Linked DNA regions of Alligator mississippiensis. The protein of the gene in region 1 purifies or fractionates together with the protein of each later gene. This does not show direct contact. Links are inferred from orthologs where the notes say so. Each region holds a gene or a part of one and is shown in the gene's direction. Other genes may lie near its edges.

Region 1 (8,015 bases):
GGCATATCATGCTTGGTAGTCATGCATGGGGATTGTTCACAAAGGTTTTAAAAGCAAATAGCTGGACAAATACTTGCCTATGATGCTTTATATAGGGATGATCCTGCCTTGAGCACGGGATTAAACTAGATGACCTCCTGGGGTCCATTGGAGCTGTACTTTTTTATGATGCAATGCACTGAGTTATTGGAGCCTTCTCGGGCAGATCCAGAGGGGCTGCACCCCCACCCCCACTTTCTGACCATGGGGCAGGAGCAGCAGTTGGGGACTTCTTTAAGTCCTGAAGATCAGAATTGCCCCCTCCTTTCCCCTCCAAGCTGAGGTTGTACCCTCCCCTCCCATTTCCCCCTCCCCTGCCTGCTGCTGCCCCTGTCCTTGCTGTCCTGGGGGTGAGGAGAGCTCCGACCCAGCTCCAGTTGGGCCATGCTGGACTTGGGTTCAGTCTGGGAAAGTAATAGTGGTGGTGGCAGGTGGGCTCCCTCTCCCTGCCTGGTTCCCCTGGGTGTTCCCCACCAGTCTGGGAGCAGATGCAAGGAGGGGAAACTTCCCACTGCCACCACTGTCCCAGGCTGAGCCCAGACCCCATGCAGCCCAGCTGGAGGGAGACAGGAGCTCCCTTCACCCCCAGGATTGCATATACAGCAGCAGTGGCAGGTGTGGCAAGGGACATGCTCTGAGCAAAGAGTATGGTGGGGGGGAATGCTTAACTGTTTTGGGGGACTTAAAATGGTCCCTAATTGCCGATCTCATGGCACGGTCTGGTCTCACTGGTATTGGTGGGGAGGAGGCTGGGAGTAGGGGGTGCTGCTCCTGTGCCCCTTTTTCAACATCCTGCATCTGCTCCTGGAGCCTTCTGGGGGTAAGGAGACATTTTAAAGCAACGTGAGTGTTGCAGGTGATGATGGAGCCTCTGATATCCCTCCTGCTCCTGAGGCTGACATACCCATATCTAGTCTTTGGGTATAATCCTGGGGGCTGGACTCGGAGATCTTCCGAGATCCCTTCCAGCCCGAATGTCTATGAAATCTAATGTCTATGAAAGTACCCACGTCACATACTTGGTGGGTAGGAGATTTGCTTTGTTTTGTAGTAGCCAACAAGGGCTGTGTACTTCCCCCCAACCCTGACCATTCATCAGTTTTCAAGGTTTGAGTGGGGGGAAAAAAATTGAAACACAACAGCAGAGCAACTATGGAGGATATTGAGATAACCCCCCCACCCCAGACCCATGAAGACAATATCAGATCAGGCAGGCAGCCAGTTTGTTTCTCTATTTCACCTCTTCCCTGCTTTGAATATTGGCCGAGCCTTCCCCAGTTCTCAAAGTTTCATTGAGCCACATGATCTTCTGTAAAAGGCAACACGTTTTTGGTTTTTTTTTTAAACTGCTTCAGATGTTCAAGCAAATGCCGGTTTATGCTTTCAATTCCATACTGTGCAAACAGCAGTAAGAGTTCCCTTCTTGTCTCAGCAGGTCTTACAAAACGGTTGCAAAGCACCACAACATGTGGGGCCCGAAGAGAGAAGGGAGAACGATTCTCCCTTCTGTGGGATGCCCGCTTTTACATATACAGCAGGCAAAATATTAGGAGAAATCCTCTCAGATTTCAGCAGTCCCTAAATATTTTTAACAGCTCAGATTTGGTGGGAGGAGGGGTAAAAAAAAGTTAAGAGACTCTAAATGCAGCAAAATTCCCGATGGGAGATCGGGAATGAGAATCGGGAATGAGAATTAAAGTGAGAATTTTGTCTGAAAACTGCAGCTTTTGTATAATATCTGGCTGGGGACTTTTCAGATGCTGTAACATTATATTCCTGTTATATTTCCATACTGATGCTTTGAATAGGGGTAGCCCCTGGGAGCCCCAGTCCTGGGGCAGGACCTCATAGTGCTAAATTCTGTACGAACACATTAATAAAAGAGCTGTTGCATACCCAAAGACTAGATAGATAGGCAGAGAGAGCATTGGTATCACTCAAACAAGGGATAAACATGGAGTGTGCACAACTACAGTACTGTGCTCTGGGGCAAAAAGTTAGGCTGTTTGGTTTCAGGTCTTTTTTAAAGAGTTGAACTGAACAATCAGTTTATTAGTGAATGGATTGGATCAATGGTTTTCAACCTTTTTAGACTCAAAGCACCCCTTGTTAGACTCAAGGCACCCCTCGGAAAATGCCAGCTCTTAGTTTTCGCTAGTTTTTGACTACAGAAAAGCTGCTTTCAGTATTTTTCTATTGCAAAGAACTCAAAAAGACCACAGCAGATCTGAGTGTTTTCAAAACAATGGATCCCTATTTGAAATTTCTGAGCTTATCTTGTGAATTATGTTTGTATGCTAACAGTACTAAAACCGCATGGCACCTAGGGGCACCCTTGAAAGACTCTCGCGGTACCCTGGATAAGAATCACTGGATTGAGACTGTGGTGTGAGTTTTCAGACGGTGTGACACATTGTGAATGATTGCCCTCTTCGATCATTTAATGGCGATCTAAAATCAATCCGTGCAGCTACCCCTGAAACAGTCAAATGGCTATCAAATTTAGATATTAAACTATGAATGTTGTATGAACATTGCAATCCTAAAATGTCATGTGAAATAGAGAGATGGGATTAGATGGAAGACTCTATATCAGGGGTGGGCAATTATTTTGGGGGGAGGGCCGCTTACTGAGTTTTGGGAAGCCATCGAGGGCCGCATGACAGACAGCCAGGGGCAGGTAAATATTAATTTTCTAAATTTTTAGGGGCTCCGCGGGCCGGAGAGAATGGCCTGGTGGGCTGCATCTGGCCCATGGGCTGCATTGTGCCCTTCCCTGCTCTATATGCACAGTGCTCCTGCTTTTTCTTGAGAACTAGCAGCGGGGAGTTGGCTAGAAGAGGTGTTGTTGCATCTTGTTCTATGAACAAAAGAAATGAGCAAAAACCCAGGGCTCTTGTTTGGCACTAACATGCTCATGGAAAATCGTAACGCTTGGTTTTCTTTCTTTCTCTTGTCCTCCATTCATTATTTTGGTTTATTATTTATGTTTGTGATTAGCTAGGACCCTGCTCCCCCCCCCGCCTGCAGGTTGCTTCTCCTTTCCCCAGAGGGGTGGCTTCCAGATACCTTCCCCTATACAAGCATGGCTGGCAGGTACCTGAGCGATGCATCTTCTCCTTTTTTACCTTTAGCCCCTTCCCAATGCAATCCCTGCTTCCTGCTGAGAGCAGGGAGAAGGGCTGCGATGTCCGCAGAGGGGGTGACATGATTACACACATGCAACGGGCACAATCACAGGCTGGCTTTTCCTCTGTCTCCTTGGGGTGGGTGCACAAAGTACAGAGGAACTGGTGACTCAGGGGGCACAGAGATATCCACTCTTGCATTAACATGATACTGCCAAAGGTGCCAAGCTAGTTGCAACTATGAATTGGCGCTGGGAAAGGCAGGGTGCCTGCCCTGCGGTGCAGGTGAGGGAATGGTGCCTGTGAGCATCAGTGGGGCTCACTCGTTCACAGGGGGCAGCCCCGCTCTGTTCCCAATGCCTGGTGGGTTTGGCTCCATGTAAAGAACAGGGGATGTTACAACCCAGGGGCTGAGATGGTAGAGGGCTCTCTACCTCAGCTTTGCAAATCCACCTTTTCAGAGATTTGAATGTGCATTACCTTCAGTCCCGTCCCAATGCTAGTCTTGCTTCCTACGGGGAGCAGGGGGAAATACAGAATCAAAGAATCACAGAACATGAGGGTTGAAGGGACCTCAGGAGGTCACATCTAGTCCAACCGCCTGCTCAGAGCAGGACCAGCCCCAACTACATCATCCCAGCCAAAGCTCTGTCTAGCCAGGTCTTAAAAACCTCCTAGGACAGAGATCCCACCACCTCTCTGGAAAGCCTGTTCCAGTGCTTTACTGCCCTTCCAGGGAGATATGAGGAAAGACTTTCTAACCTCAACTTCCCTTGCTGCAAATTGAGCCCGTTGCTCCTTGTTCTGTCATCTGCCACTACAGTCCAGCTCCATCCTTTTTGCAGCCTCCCTGCAGGTAATCGAAGGATGCTATTAAATCACCTCTCCGTCTTCTATTCTGCAAACTAAATAAACCCAGCTCTCTCAGCCTTTCCTCGCAAGCCCCCTAACCATTTTGTTGTCCTCTACTGGACTCTCTCCAATTTGTCCACATCCTTTCTGTAGTGGGGGGGCCCAAAACTGGACCTAGTACTCCAGATGTGGCCTCCCCAGTGCTGCATAGAGGGGAAGAATCACTTCCCTTGACCTGCTGGCATCACTTCTACCAATGCAGCCCGGGATGCTGTTAGCTTTCTTGGCAACAAGGGCACGCTGCTGGCTCATATTCAGCTCGTTGTCCAGTCACCCCCAGGTCCTTTCTGCAGAGCTGCTGCCCAGCCCATCAACCCCAGCCTGCACTGGTGCGTGGGACTGCTCTGTCCTAAGTGCAGGACTTTGCACTTGTTCTTGTAGAGAAGGGCTCTGACACCTGCAAGGAGGGCCCTGCAGCCAGTTTTCGTTGGGGACCAGTTCAGGACCAAAATGCTCCCAAGCCTGAAACCCAGGCATGTGGGTGTCACCCAGGGAGGGCTGGGGGAAGTGAGCCCTACCTTTAGTGTGCAAAGGGTTTTCCAATTGCAATTAGAATGCAAATTAACATTCTAACGGCCATTAACATTCTAATTGTAATTAACCCCTGATTTCATCATTCCCACCAGCCTATGGCTGTGTCCACCCTACAGGGCTCCCCTGGGGCGCAGCGCGCAGTACCCCCTCCCTGCCACTAGGGGGCAGACGCCACCCCTCTGCGGATACTCTCTCTCCCGGAGCCGCGCTCTCTATGGTGATGTAACGACATTTCCGCCCCTCCTCTTCTCGCCTACGAAGTTTGCACAGCTCCTGCTTTACGAGGCCCAGCCTTGCGGCGTAACTCTCCCGCTACTTGCGCAGCTTGCTCCAACACCGCTCTGCCCTGCCACCAAGTCGGACGCAGTTTGCGTAGCTCCCCTCAGCCACGCCCCTTCCCGCCGTGCGCTGCGCCGTTTACGTAGGGGCGGGCGGGCGACTGCGCAGGCGCGGGGCTCGCGGCGCTTCGTTCATGGCGGCGGCGAGTGAGTGTCCTGGGCCCGGCCCGCGTCGCTAATCGAGGCCGAGGCTTTAGGCCGCACCAGGCCGGGGCTTCCCGCGCCGGGCTGGGAAGGGGGGAAGCAGTGGGGTCGGGTTGTGCGCGGCGGGACGGGGTGTCCGCCCGGGTTAAACGTGGGGGAGGGGCTCTCACGGCGGGGGCGGGGCCAGAGAAGGGGGGAGGGGCGCCCCCATTGTGGAGGAGGGGGTCCCATGGGGGGAGGGGCGTCCCGTGGAGGGTTCCATGGGGGGGAGGAGCGTCCTGCGTGGGGGGTTCCATGGGGGGGAGGGGCGTCCCGTGGGGGGGGTTCCATAGGGGGGAGGGGCGTCCTGCGTGGGGGGTTCCATGGGGGGGAGGGGCGTCCCGTGGGGGGGTTCCATGGGGGGGAAGGGGGGTTCCAGGGGGGGAGGGTGTCCCATTGTGGGGGCGCGGCTGTAGGGGGTTGTGCTGTGTGTGTGTGTGTGTGTGTGGGGGGGGGGGGGGGGAGGGCATTGTCGCCAGGCCTGCATTGGGCGGGGGCAGCGCAGGGTTGGGGGGACCGTGGAGACGAGCTGGTTGCAAGCAGGGAAGAAGCGGCTGGCTGGAGGCTGCGAGAGGAGAGGAGAGGCAGGAAGAGCTACCAGGACCGGTGTCATGTGGCCGTGCTGGGTCCCTCTGCAGGGATGCCCAGAAGAAACAGGGCCTGCACCTTTTCGGTTATGCGCTCCCCGTCTGCAGCCCCGCCGAGCCGCAGGACCTCCTGGTCAGCCTCCTCCTGGCCCTAGCCAAGCGGGACGTCTGTTTGACCAGGAAGGAGGCTCCAGCCAGGGAAGCCGTCGGGGACTGCCGGGCTCCTTTGCTGTCCTGGTTCAACTCGCGTCTGCAGGCAGAGTTTCATCGGGCAGCATCCGCTAGCCCCTTGGACTCGTTGGAGGGCCGGCGGCCCCTCGGTATGCATCCACTGATTCCTTGGGACAACTTATAATGAGAGCGGGGACAGGAGCGGGGGTCAGAGTTGGATAACGAGAGCACCAAGGATGGGGGACCCCGAGCAGAGCTCATCAGCCAGCGCCCACCGGCCCTCGAACATGTGTAAGGAGTCAGTAGATGCCATCTGGTGAAAATGCCCGCAGACGTGATTAGATAAGGGACAGGAGGATGGCCCCAGAGTCCCTGTTGAGACCCCCAGCTGGAGCCTCTTTCCTGGACAGGCCTATTTGACACGTTTTGTGGACATGGGCCTTAGGCCCACAAAGCAACAGTTAGTGCCCCTTGCTAATAGAGGGGGCTATTGGATACATGTCAGTTGATGACATGGGACAAAAAGCAAAGCAGGGATGGGAGTGAAGGTTGTAGGTTAAAAACGAGTGCACTGAGGGGGACGTGGGACAGTGCCTCGAATGAGTCCAAGGAGCCAGTGGTGAGTGGACCAGTGAAACTCTGCCCGGAGATGTGAATAGACGAGGGACAGGAAACCGGCTGCATGGTCCCTGGGGGGTCTCCCACCCAGATCCTCCTTCCTGATCAGATAGATCGCTAATTTGGCTAAGGGCAGGGGGAGGTTGACCATGAGGGTCCCGGGACTTAATGGGGCTGTGGATAGGGAGAGCATAAGTGAAACGATGCAGGAGTAGTGCAGCCAGAGCCTCAGCAGGAAGTCCTAGAGGGCGCTGCAGCCTGGCACTCTTCAGGCAGGCACGTACCAGGGTCTCCCTCTGATCGCAGAAGGGGCAGGAGCTGGGGGCATCCATAAACTGCACCAGATACATGCCCATAGCAATCGCTCTGTGGAGGAGCCAGTAGCTGAGGTCCCCTGGAGGGTCGTGGGATCAGGGTGGAATATAAGCTTGTCCACCAGGCCGGCAGATGTAGGAAGTTCTGATTAGTAATAGGAGGAGCCAGCTTTAAAATAGTTGTATATATATTTGTCTATATCTATCTTCTTCCCTTGCTTGTCCTGTCTAAACAGGTTGCTTTTGCAGATCCTGGCTCTCCACTGACTTCGGTCATACTTATTTTCTTCTTCCAACTCCTCTCACGTTCTTCTGCAGTATCTCTCTCTATCTCATCTTTGGCCTTCCTCTTCCCCTTCTCCCTGGTAGCACCATTCTGATAACTTTATTCCTACGTATTCTTCTGGACTCCTTTGAACATACCCGTACCATGCCAGTCTTCTCTCTTGTACTTTCTTAGATGCCTCCGCTACCTTCACCAATCCTCTGATGTAAGAATTCTTCACTTTATCCATCTCCGTCACTCCACCCATCCGTCTGCGCAGTCTCACCTCTGTCACATTTAGTCGCCTTTCTTGTGTTTTCTTCATGGGCTGTCTTCACTCCGTACAATAGTACTGGGCACATGGACGTCTTGTAGACTTTCCTCTTCAGCTCCACTGATAATCTCCTGTCACATAATAGTCTTGTCACCAATTTCCAGTTTGTCCACCCTGCTGTTACTCAGTGGTTCAACTCTTCATCTAACCCTGCTGACCGGTTGACCTCACATACTTGAACTTGTTAACTTTTCGAACATGTTTCTCATCGATTATCACATTTGCAACATCAGGTATCTCAGAGAAATCACAGTAAATGTATTCCGTTTTGGATCAACTCATCTTCATTCCTCTTCCCTCTTGTACTTCTTTCCATTGGTCCAAACCAGCTTGCATTTCCTCTAAACTCTTGGCGCAAATGACCATGTTGTCCACAAACATCATGTTCCACGGAGGTCTCCTTCTTATTTGTTCAGTAAACACATCCATCGTGACCGCAAATAGGAACGGACTCAAAGCTGACCCTTGATGAATGCCCATCTTCACCTCAAAACTCTGTCTCTCTCAAACTGCTCCTCACTTTCGTTGTACATTTGCAATATATGTCCTCAGTGGTTCTGACATATTTCTGCGGCATATCCTTAACTTTCAG
Region 2 (7,821 bases), on another chromosome or scaffold:
CTACAATGTGATCCGACACTTCCTGTACATCTTGTGCTCTGCTGCTTTCCCATGCATCTGTGCAAACGGATGATGTAGCTTTCAAAAGCTGACATGTCATTATTTCCGTGTATTTTTATGCAAAAGACATGCTGTTACTCATAACAATATAATTATTTGTTATGTAGATTATGAAGCCATATGCAGGTATTTCCATCAACAATTAAGTGTTGCAAGGATAATTATATCATTGATGCTTTCTTGGAAATAATAACTCTTCACAGACAGTGAAGTGTAGCATCACCATCTACTTTTCTGGAGAACTGTATTCTAAAGATAGTCAGTCATCTTTCTCCAGGATTCAGTTTGGTATCTTTTCTCTCCTATATATCTATTAGCAACGTGACCTTCCCGAATTCCTGCCACACTGCACAAGTATTCATATTTGCAAATGATACAGATCTTGTATCTGCAAAATGCAGGATTAATGTAGTAGCCTGCTATCCATATCATCCGACCTGGGCATTGCTATAGTCTCATTGTGGTTTCCTGGCAACAAAGTGCTACAGCACTTTCATGAATGTTAACAATTTTTATTCATATAGCCTTTAGTGACTTCCTTAGAGTCTTGCAGAAATGAATGAGTGTATCATTGTTATCTGCTTCTTGAATATCAGCCTCAAACACAAATCTTTTTCTGTTCGGGGAAAGAATTATTAATGTGATTTCATCTAGAAATATCACTTCTATTTTTCTCAGTAGACATTTAGTTCTGGGATCTTACCCTATTATTTCTCCTCAAAATATAACAATAATTGCATTTCTGGTCATATTGTCTGGAACAACTCTGACTGATTTTATCAGGTTTTAGTTTTACAGGAGGAACATGTGACAATGTAACTAATATATTGCTGGGTATATAGCTGTTTCTTTTAGAAAGAATAAAATAATTAAAATTGCAATTTAAAAATATTAATATATATATATTTTTTTAATTATAACTAGGAAAACCAAAACAAAGAGCTGTCACAGATATGTTATATTCCCTAGTCTATATTTCTTCTTCGAGTAGAAACTGAAACTGTGGTGGGGACCAATTTGTACTGGGCATATACATATAGTAAAGGAAGGTCCCTTCCCTGAAGAACTTAAAGCTGAATCCTAATTCATTTTATGCATCTAAATGCAGTTATGCAGTTACATTATTCTGACTTTGGGCACTTATATGCAGTTTTTTTATTCCATTTTCCCTGTGATGGAATAGGATCAACCTATGTGAGTACCTGCCAGAAGCAAAATGGAAAAAGAGAAGGATACATGGTCCAGTACATTTGATCAGGTATATGCAAAAGGCCAGGTAAGTCCTGAAACTATAAGCTGGACAAAAACTTGAGACTAGCAGGTGTTAGGCATCATAGGATATCTAATATTTAGCTGCTTTCCACCTGCGTTCCCATGGGAGTTTGAACTTATATCTTCTGCTTCCTAACAAAGTAGTCTAACCATAAGGCCACAGGATAGACATTAAATGGGTAGCTTCCCAGTCCTCTGCATCTTGCATTTAATGTCCATTGGATGAAAAGGACAGAAAAAAGTCAGGAAGTTTCTGCCCCATTGAGACCAGGCCAAAACCCAGGACATTCTCCTATCCAGGATAGTAACTATCTCCCTGAACTCAACAACCTTTAGTTTGTATTCTTCATCCTGGCCCCACATATCTTCCTCTCTTGGTTGTCTAGAGGCCAGCTTCAAGGGGAGGGCTAAAAAGGATCTGGATAATACCTAGCCTGTGGCCTGGTGATTACAGCACTATACTAAAATGCAGGTCCAGGTGTCATCTGGATGACGGGGATGTAGGATTAAGGTCTCCTGCTCCCTGCTAATATATGGGAGGGATCTAACATTCTGGCATCTAACACCCAGAAGTCATGAATTTTTGCCTGGTGACCATTTTGGGACTTACCAAGCTTACGTGTGTACCTGAGTAAAGGTAGAGCACTGTGTACCTGCCCAGCAAAAGCACAATTCAACTGAACATATTCAGTGAGACTGGGGATTGCTGGCATTTTCTGCAGGGTGCTTGGAATCTAAAAAGTTTGAGAATCAGTGGAATAGATACAGAGTTATTCATACTTCCTGAGGTGACCTAGGTTCTGCTACATTACCAGGACAGCGAGAAAGCTTGTCTTGCCACTGCTTTTGTTGAATTTGTTGTATAAGGGACTAAGTTAGAGTCCCATCAAATCAATGGAGAAATCACTGTTTTAATGAGCTCTGTGTCAGGTTCAACAGAACTTGCAGCTTTCAGTCCCTGTCACTGTCAGTTTAGACCTTGATCTTGAAAACACTTGAACCCTAAGCACAAGCTTGCTCCTACTGATTCAATGTCAATTTAAGCATATGAATAAGTGATTGCAGAATCATTTCCCCCATCGCTTGAGGGAAAATTAATAAGCCACAACCTATTCAGCTTTCCACATTACAATTATTTTAGCTCTTTCTGGTTTACTTAGATCTTATATAGCACTTCTCACCTGAATAACTCAAGCCATTCAGTAATGAAGTAAATACTATTTTAATGTTATCCATGCCACTTTATTCCTCCATTCAGAAAGAATCCTGGAGGAAAGCATCCCTGAAAATTGACCAGAGAATACTGGCCTCAAAATGTTCTCACAGCATAATATGAGACTTCATCAAACATGTGCTCATGGGATTATATTCCGTTATGTTAGATTATTTTGTCTATTATGAATAATGTCATATGCACCTACTCTCATTAAATTCTGTATTCAGTTAGTAGGCTGGAATGCAAAGCCCTGGCAGATAAGACAAAGTACTGAACAGAAAAGGTTTCAATGCTCAAATAACACAAGGAGAATTTTAGTTGTGATTCAGCCTGGCCAAGTTAAAATCATCATCTATTTCATCAGGAATCATCAGCAAGACAACATCTGTAAATAATGTCATGCAGGTTTCTGCCCAAGGAATAGCTCATGGTTCAAAGAGGAAAGCTAGCTTCCATGACCTATATTCTTCTCTTGAGAAGCAGGACACAGAAGGCCTGGAAAAAGCTGGATTTATACTACATTTGTGTCACCCAGATTCTGGCCTATCACATGGGCCAAAGTAGTTTATTGCTTGAGTTAGAGGGAGATTTTCTTTTTCTATTCCTACCAGTCTGCCACCTATGCTGAAGTCTATGAAATGAAAGCAGTGAAGGACTGTAGCAAACAAGAACAAAAGATAGAGTTCAAAGCAGAAGCCAGGATTCAGCTTTAATATGTTGCAGTTTTCCCATTTGTCTTACATCAGAAGTAGTCCTAGGATATGCAATTAATCTAAAATGGTGTCCACCAGCAAGCAGTGCTGGATAATATTGGTACCAGAGGAAATTTGGACTGATTAAAAAACCCAACCAGACATAAATCCCTCTTCTTTCCATGAGTTATATAAGCCTGAAGTATTAGCTTATATGAAAAGAAAAACAAAGCAGTGCCTTTATCTATAGCCATGGTAGTTTTATGTAAGGTTTCGGTGGTGGCTTAATAATTTAATTTCCTTTTACAGAATAATTTAATATTAGCTTTCCCCACTGGGTTATTTTTCCCCACCATATTGCTGGGGGTGGAGGGGCTTTGTCAGCTGTGGATTTAAATAAGATACAGTGAAGAAGGACTCTTGGCAGCAAGCAGAACTAGTTTCTCAGTTAACAATCAATGCACAGGCTTGCATTGCTGTCACAAATATTGATACACTGTTTTGTGTCCCAAGTCAAATTGCTGTTTAGCTTGGTGGAACAATCAATCATATCCCAGGATAAAAGTTCTTTGAAAGATCATGCTTAACTCTCTGGCAGCCCTAGTTTGAAGATGGGGCCAAGAAACCCTTTTGATTATTAACATTGTTCTATGACAGATTGTATAGGGATATTCTTTCCCAGATTGTTTTCCTGGATAAAAGAGTCCTGGGAGCGAGGAAGTGTGTGAGTAATGTATTTCAATCACATTTAGCTGATATAAGGGGTTAGTGGCCTCTTTGGGTAATATATAGCTTGGACTGAGTTAGCCTAAAATGAGTTTAAGATGAATTCCCTGCAGAAATGGTTCACATCGTGTGATCTGGCTGCTGAGTAGTATTTCTTAAGCGACAGTGTTCCAATCTGACTTTCTCAAAGGTCATGATTACTGAGCAAGGTTAATATGGGAACACTTCTTTCCTACAAGCAAGGTCCTTAAGGCATCAGGTTTTTCAAAGAATTTACTAAAAAGAGGTTAGGAAGCATTTAATGTATAAACTCTAAAGCTGATACTTCACTGCCCTGCTGCTTGTGTAGTCATTTGTGTAAGTGCAAAGGGGTACAAAATGTTGCCATGTCAGAGTAGCAACATGTTACAGTCAGTTTGTGCTGGTGAATATTACTTTCTAGGGTGTGTCAGAACCCATTAATTAGATGCCTATAGCACAGAGGAGAATTGGTATAGCCCAGAGGAGAAATGACATAGCACAGAGGAAAATTCCATGGGTTCGATACATATGGCATAGTTTTGCTGTCAATCATTCTGGTGGCAGTAACTAGGTCATGGAGGAAAATTCCGCTATGCCTGAACCCAGTAACCAAATGCTACAATAGTGGAAAATTACAGTTTAGAAAAAAGTTCCCGCCACTCATATGCAAATTCACATTATTATTGGCCAGTTTTAAATTATTCCTACGTGGCGACTAGCGATTGGCTTGCTAGCCATATAAGAGGTTGAAGCAGTTTCTGCCCAAGTTGGAGAACTCCACATACATCTCGTGGAGAGCTCTGAGCACGCTGTGGAGCCTAGCAAACTCCGCGTGTGTCTTAGAGAAGGACTTAGGGGCCTGATCAACCTCTAATCGCTCCCCGTCACCGACCTAGACCTAGACGTAACCCGACAACTGCCGGCTCGACACATTTGCAGACCGAATGAACTTTGTAATTTCTGCCCGACCCAAGTTTTGTTTACAACTGTAATCGAAGCAAGCTTCTGGCCTGCACTGTACGAGCAGTGTAAGTAAACAACCTTTTTGTTTAATCAAAACGCGTCAGTACCTGATTCCACTCCAAGCATCACAAGTGCCCGCCCGCCGACTAGGGCTCCCAAGGCCCCGAACCCCGCGCCGCGGCTCTTGGCGGTGACAGGGTGCAGGGTGATAAAGGTCTACAAAGAATATTCGCTTTTAACACATGCAGTCAGATTAAAGTATGGATTGCTTCAGAGCCTGGATTTTATGTGGTGTATTCAGACAACACCACTGTTAGCTGAAATGTGAAAAAGGACAGGAAACAATAGGAAAGAAAACCCAAGCAGTTTGTGCATTTTTATTGTTGCTGTTAACATTTGAAAGGGCAAACTAGGCTGCATCATGATGGAATCTAAGTAATTAGATGGTTTTCTTCAAGGATAATTTTGTATTTGAATAGTTGGCCAGTTTCCCAGTAGAATCCTAGTAAGTTTGTCACAATTTAGTTTTGACTATGCCCCAGTCTGTTCCTGAAACAAAGAAACTATGAACTATATTTTACTTAAGAGTCGTTTATAAATCCACAATCTAGTCTAGTGCTTCCAGTGACAGCTCTGCTATCCAGAGACTGTCTTTATTCTATGCCTGTATGTAAAGGGAACAATCATCCTGGACTTTTTGGGACAGTTCTGAATTTGGGGGCTGTGTCCTGGTGTCCCCAAAGCTTCTTTGAAATTGAATTTTTATTCCAAATTTGAAAAATTGGTCCTGATTTGGTGACTGAGATTCACAAATTATTCAAAACTGACTATCCACCATCAGTTTCAAGGGTGCTAACAGTTGCCTGTAAGGTCTCTGGGCACATACCCGAGATTTTACTTCCTTGAAAATGGTTGCTTTCTCTGTATAGTGCATAGCAGAATGGGATTTAGATCTTTGTTTGGCTTTTAGTTGTTCCTGTAAAGAATGATATTGTGTAGGTCAGTCCATATAAAAATCCTTACATTTCCAGGAACACAATTTAGATTTATCATTTCTGGTAAGCCTTTATCAGTACTTTAAAATACAGTGATTGAAGCCTGAATATTAGCAATAACTGATGTTCTATCAGTAATTAAACCAGTTTGGTCATTAATTATTAGGAATGTTGCCATCTCGTTTTAAAAGTGAAATAGGACAACTCCAAACATATCTGTAGGGCTTGGGGGAGAGATGGATACTATAAGGTAAAGGAAGAAGAAATTGTACTCTGAGGATAGGTGTACAGTCAGAGGTGCTGCTGTCAATCTGTGAGTACAGAACACAGAATCATATTGTGATAGCTTTAATCCAAGTAGAAGGGGTAGCAACATGGGTTAACAACACGAGTATCTATCTACCCAGATGGCTTCTGTAGTCCATGGTGAAACCTGAGATATTATGTTAGCACGCTGCCTCATGCTGCAATGGTACCTTCAACTGCAACTATGTACAGACCCTGAGAAAATTAGTTATAATGGCATCAAATTCATCTTGGAATTTTTAGATATCTGTCCAAAGCAAACATAACAAACCTGGATACACAGTTTTCCAGGATATACTGTAACCTCAGAGAAGAGTTGAAGAGACAAAAGTTGAACAAAAAGGAGGTTCTGATCCTATTCTGGCAGGAAAAGAACAGAGAACTAAGTGCCTTTTTTCGGATTTAGACATGGGAGGAGATGTCTTCCTACCTACTCTTGAAAATTCAGGAGCAAGCCAGGGAGCCTCAGCATAAAGAAGTCAAGAAGTAAGAGCCTAAAAGTTCACCTGGCCTGCTGCACACAAACTATGGTGAAGTAGGAAGGTTCAGAAAAGCCTTCCTGAAAGTGTATGCAAACATTTCCTGATTTTCATTAGAAGTTCATGGAAGCTTTGCAACACAGAGGTTGAAAAATATCTGTTTTTCAAGGAATGTTGAAAAATTGCTTTAATTTTATGTCAGTTTTCATGGCAAACACTGGTTTCAGTTTCAGCAAAATGAAACTACTTATATTATTTTTTGAAAAATACAGGTTTTAAAAACTATTTTAAAAAATGTATTTAAGTGATATATTTTTAGAATTTAGAAATGTTGTTTAAAATGTGTTTTGTATTTCACTTAAGGAAACAGAAAAATTAATAAAAAGTAATGTTGGCTCAAAAAAAATCTATTCTCAATGGAAAAGTAAGTTTGACAAAAATAAACCTTTTCTCAAACAAATGCTTTGACAAGCTCTACTTGGCACTTTCTCCTTTCAAGCTTAAAGCAGGACAGTTTTATTTGTTTTGTGTGATAGCTGAAAAGTATTGCAGATGTTAGTGTGCACAAAAGCAAGGTGAAAAGTATAGTCCCAAGCCACACTTGGAGTTAAGAATACACCACTGGAGTCAATCAGAATTTTTCTGTTGGGTTGTTTGGGAGTAAAACTGAACTTCTTACTATTAGGATCAGAGACTTGCGCACCAAGCCATTTGAGGAAAGGCTGAAGCAGCTGGGATTCTTCAGCCTGAAAAAGAGAAGGCTGAGAGGAGACTTGGTAGCAGCTTATATCAGGGGAGTACATCAAGAGGTTGGTGAACAACTGTTCACCAGGGCACCCTTGGGGAAAACCAGGAGTAATGGCTACAAACTCTTGGAAGACCATTTGAGGCTCAACATTAGGAAAAACTTCTTCATAATTAGAGTGTCCAGACTGTGGGATAAGCTCCCTCCAGAGGTGGTGCAATTGCCTACCCTGGAAATCTTCAAGAGGAGGTTGGACGGTCATCTTGCTGGGGTCACCTGATCCTAGCTGTCTTTCCTGCCTGGTACAGGGGGATGGACCCGATGATCTTCTGAGGTCCATTTCAGC

The links. The genes of interacting proteins can lie anywhere in the genome.
Region 2: the proteins of RBM17 (region 1) and SNRPB2 purify together in Homo sapiens (affinity purification with mass spectrometry; 3 studies listed by BioGRID and IntAct, with this or other methods). This does not show direct contact. The link is inferred for Alligator mississippiensis from reciprocal best matches to the Homo sapiens genes RBM17 and SNRPB2.

What each region holds. Positions count from the first base shown.
Region 1 is NC_081827.1:9,433,950-9,441,964, forward strand, and holds the start of RBM17 (splicing factor 45), read left to right. Parts: upstream 1-5,015; 5' UTR 5,016-5,098; intron 5,099-5,807; exon of another isoform or gene 5,808-6,041; intron 6,042-8,015. UniProt on the Homo sapiens protein: Splice factor that binds to the single-stranded 3'AG at the exon/intron border and promotes its utilization in the second catalytic step. Involved in the regulation of alternative splicing and the utilization of cryptic splice sites.
Region 2 is NC_081824.1:218,461,053-218,468,873, reverse strand, and holds the start of SNRPB2 (U2 small nuclear ribonucleoprotein B''), read left to right. Parts: upstream 1-4,805; 5' UTR 4,806-5,015; intron 5,016-7,821. UniProt on the Homo sapiens protein: Involved in pre-mRNA splicing as component of the spliceosome. Associated with sn-RNP U2, where it contributes to the binding of stem loop IV of U2 snRNA.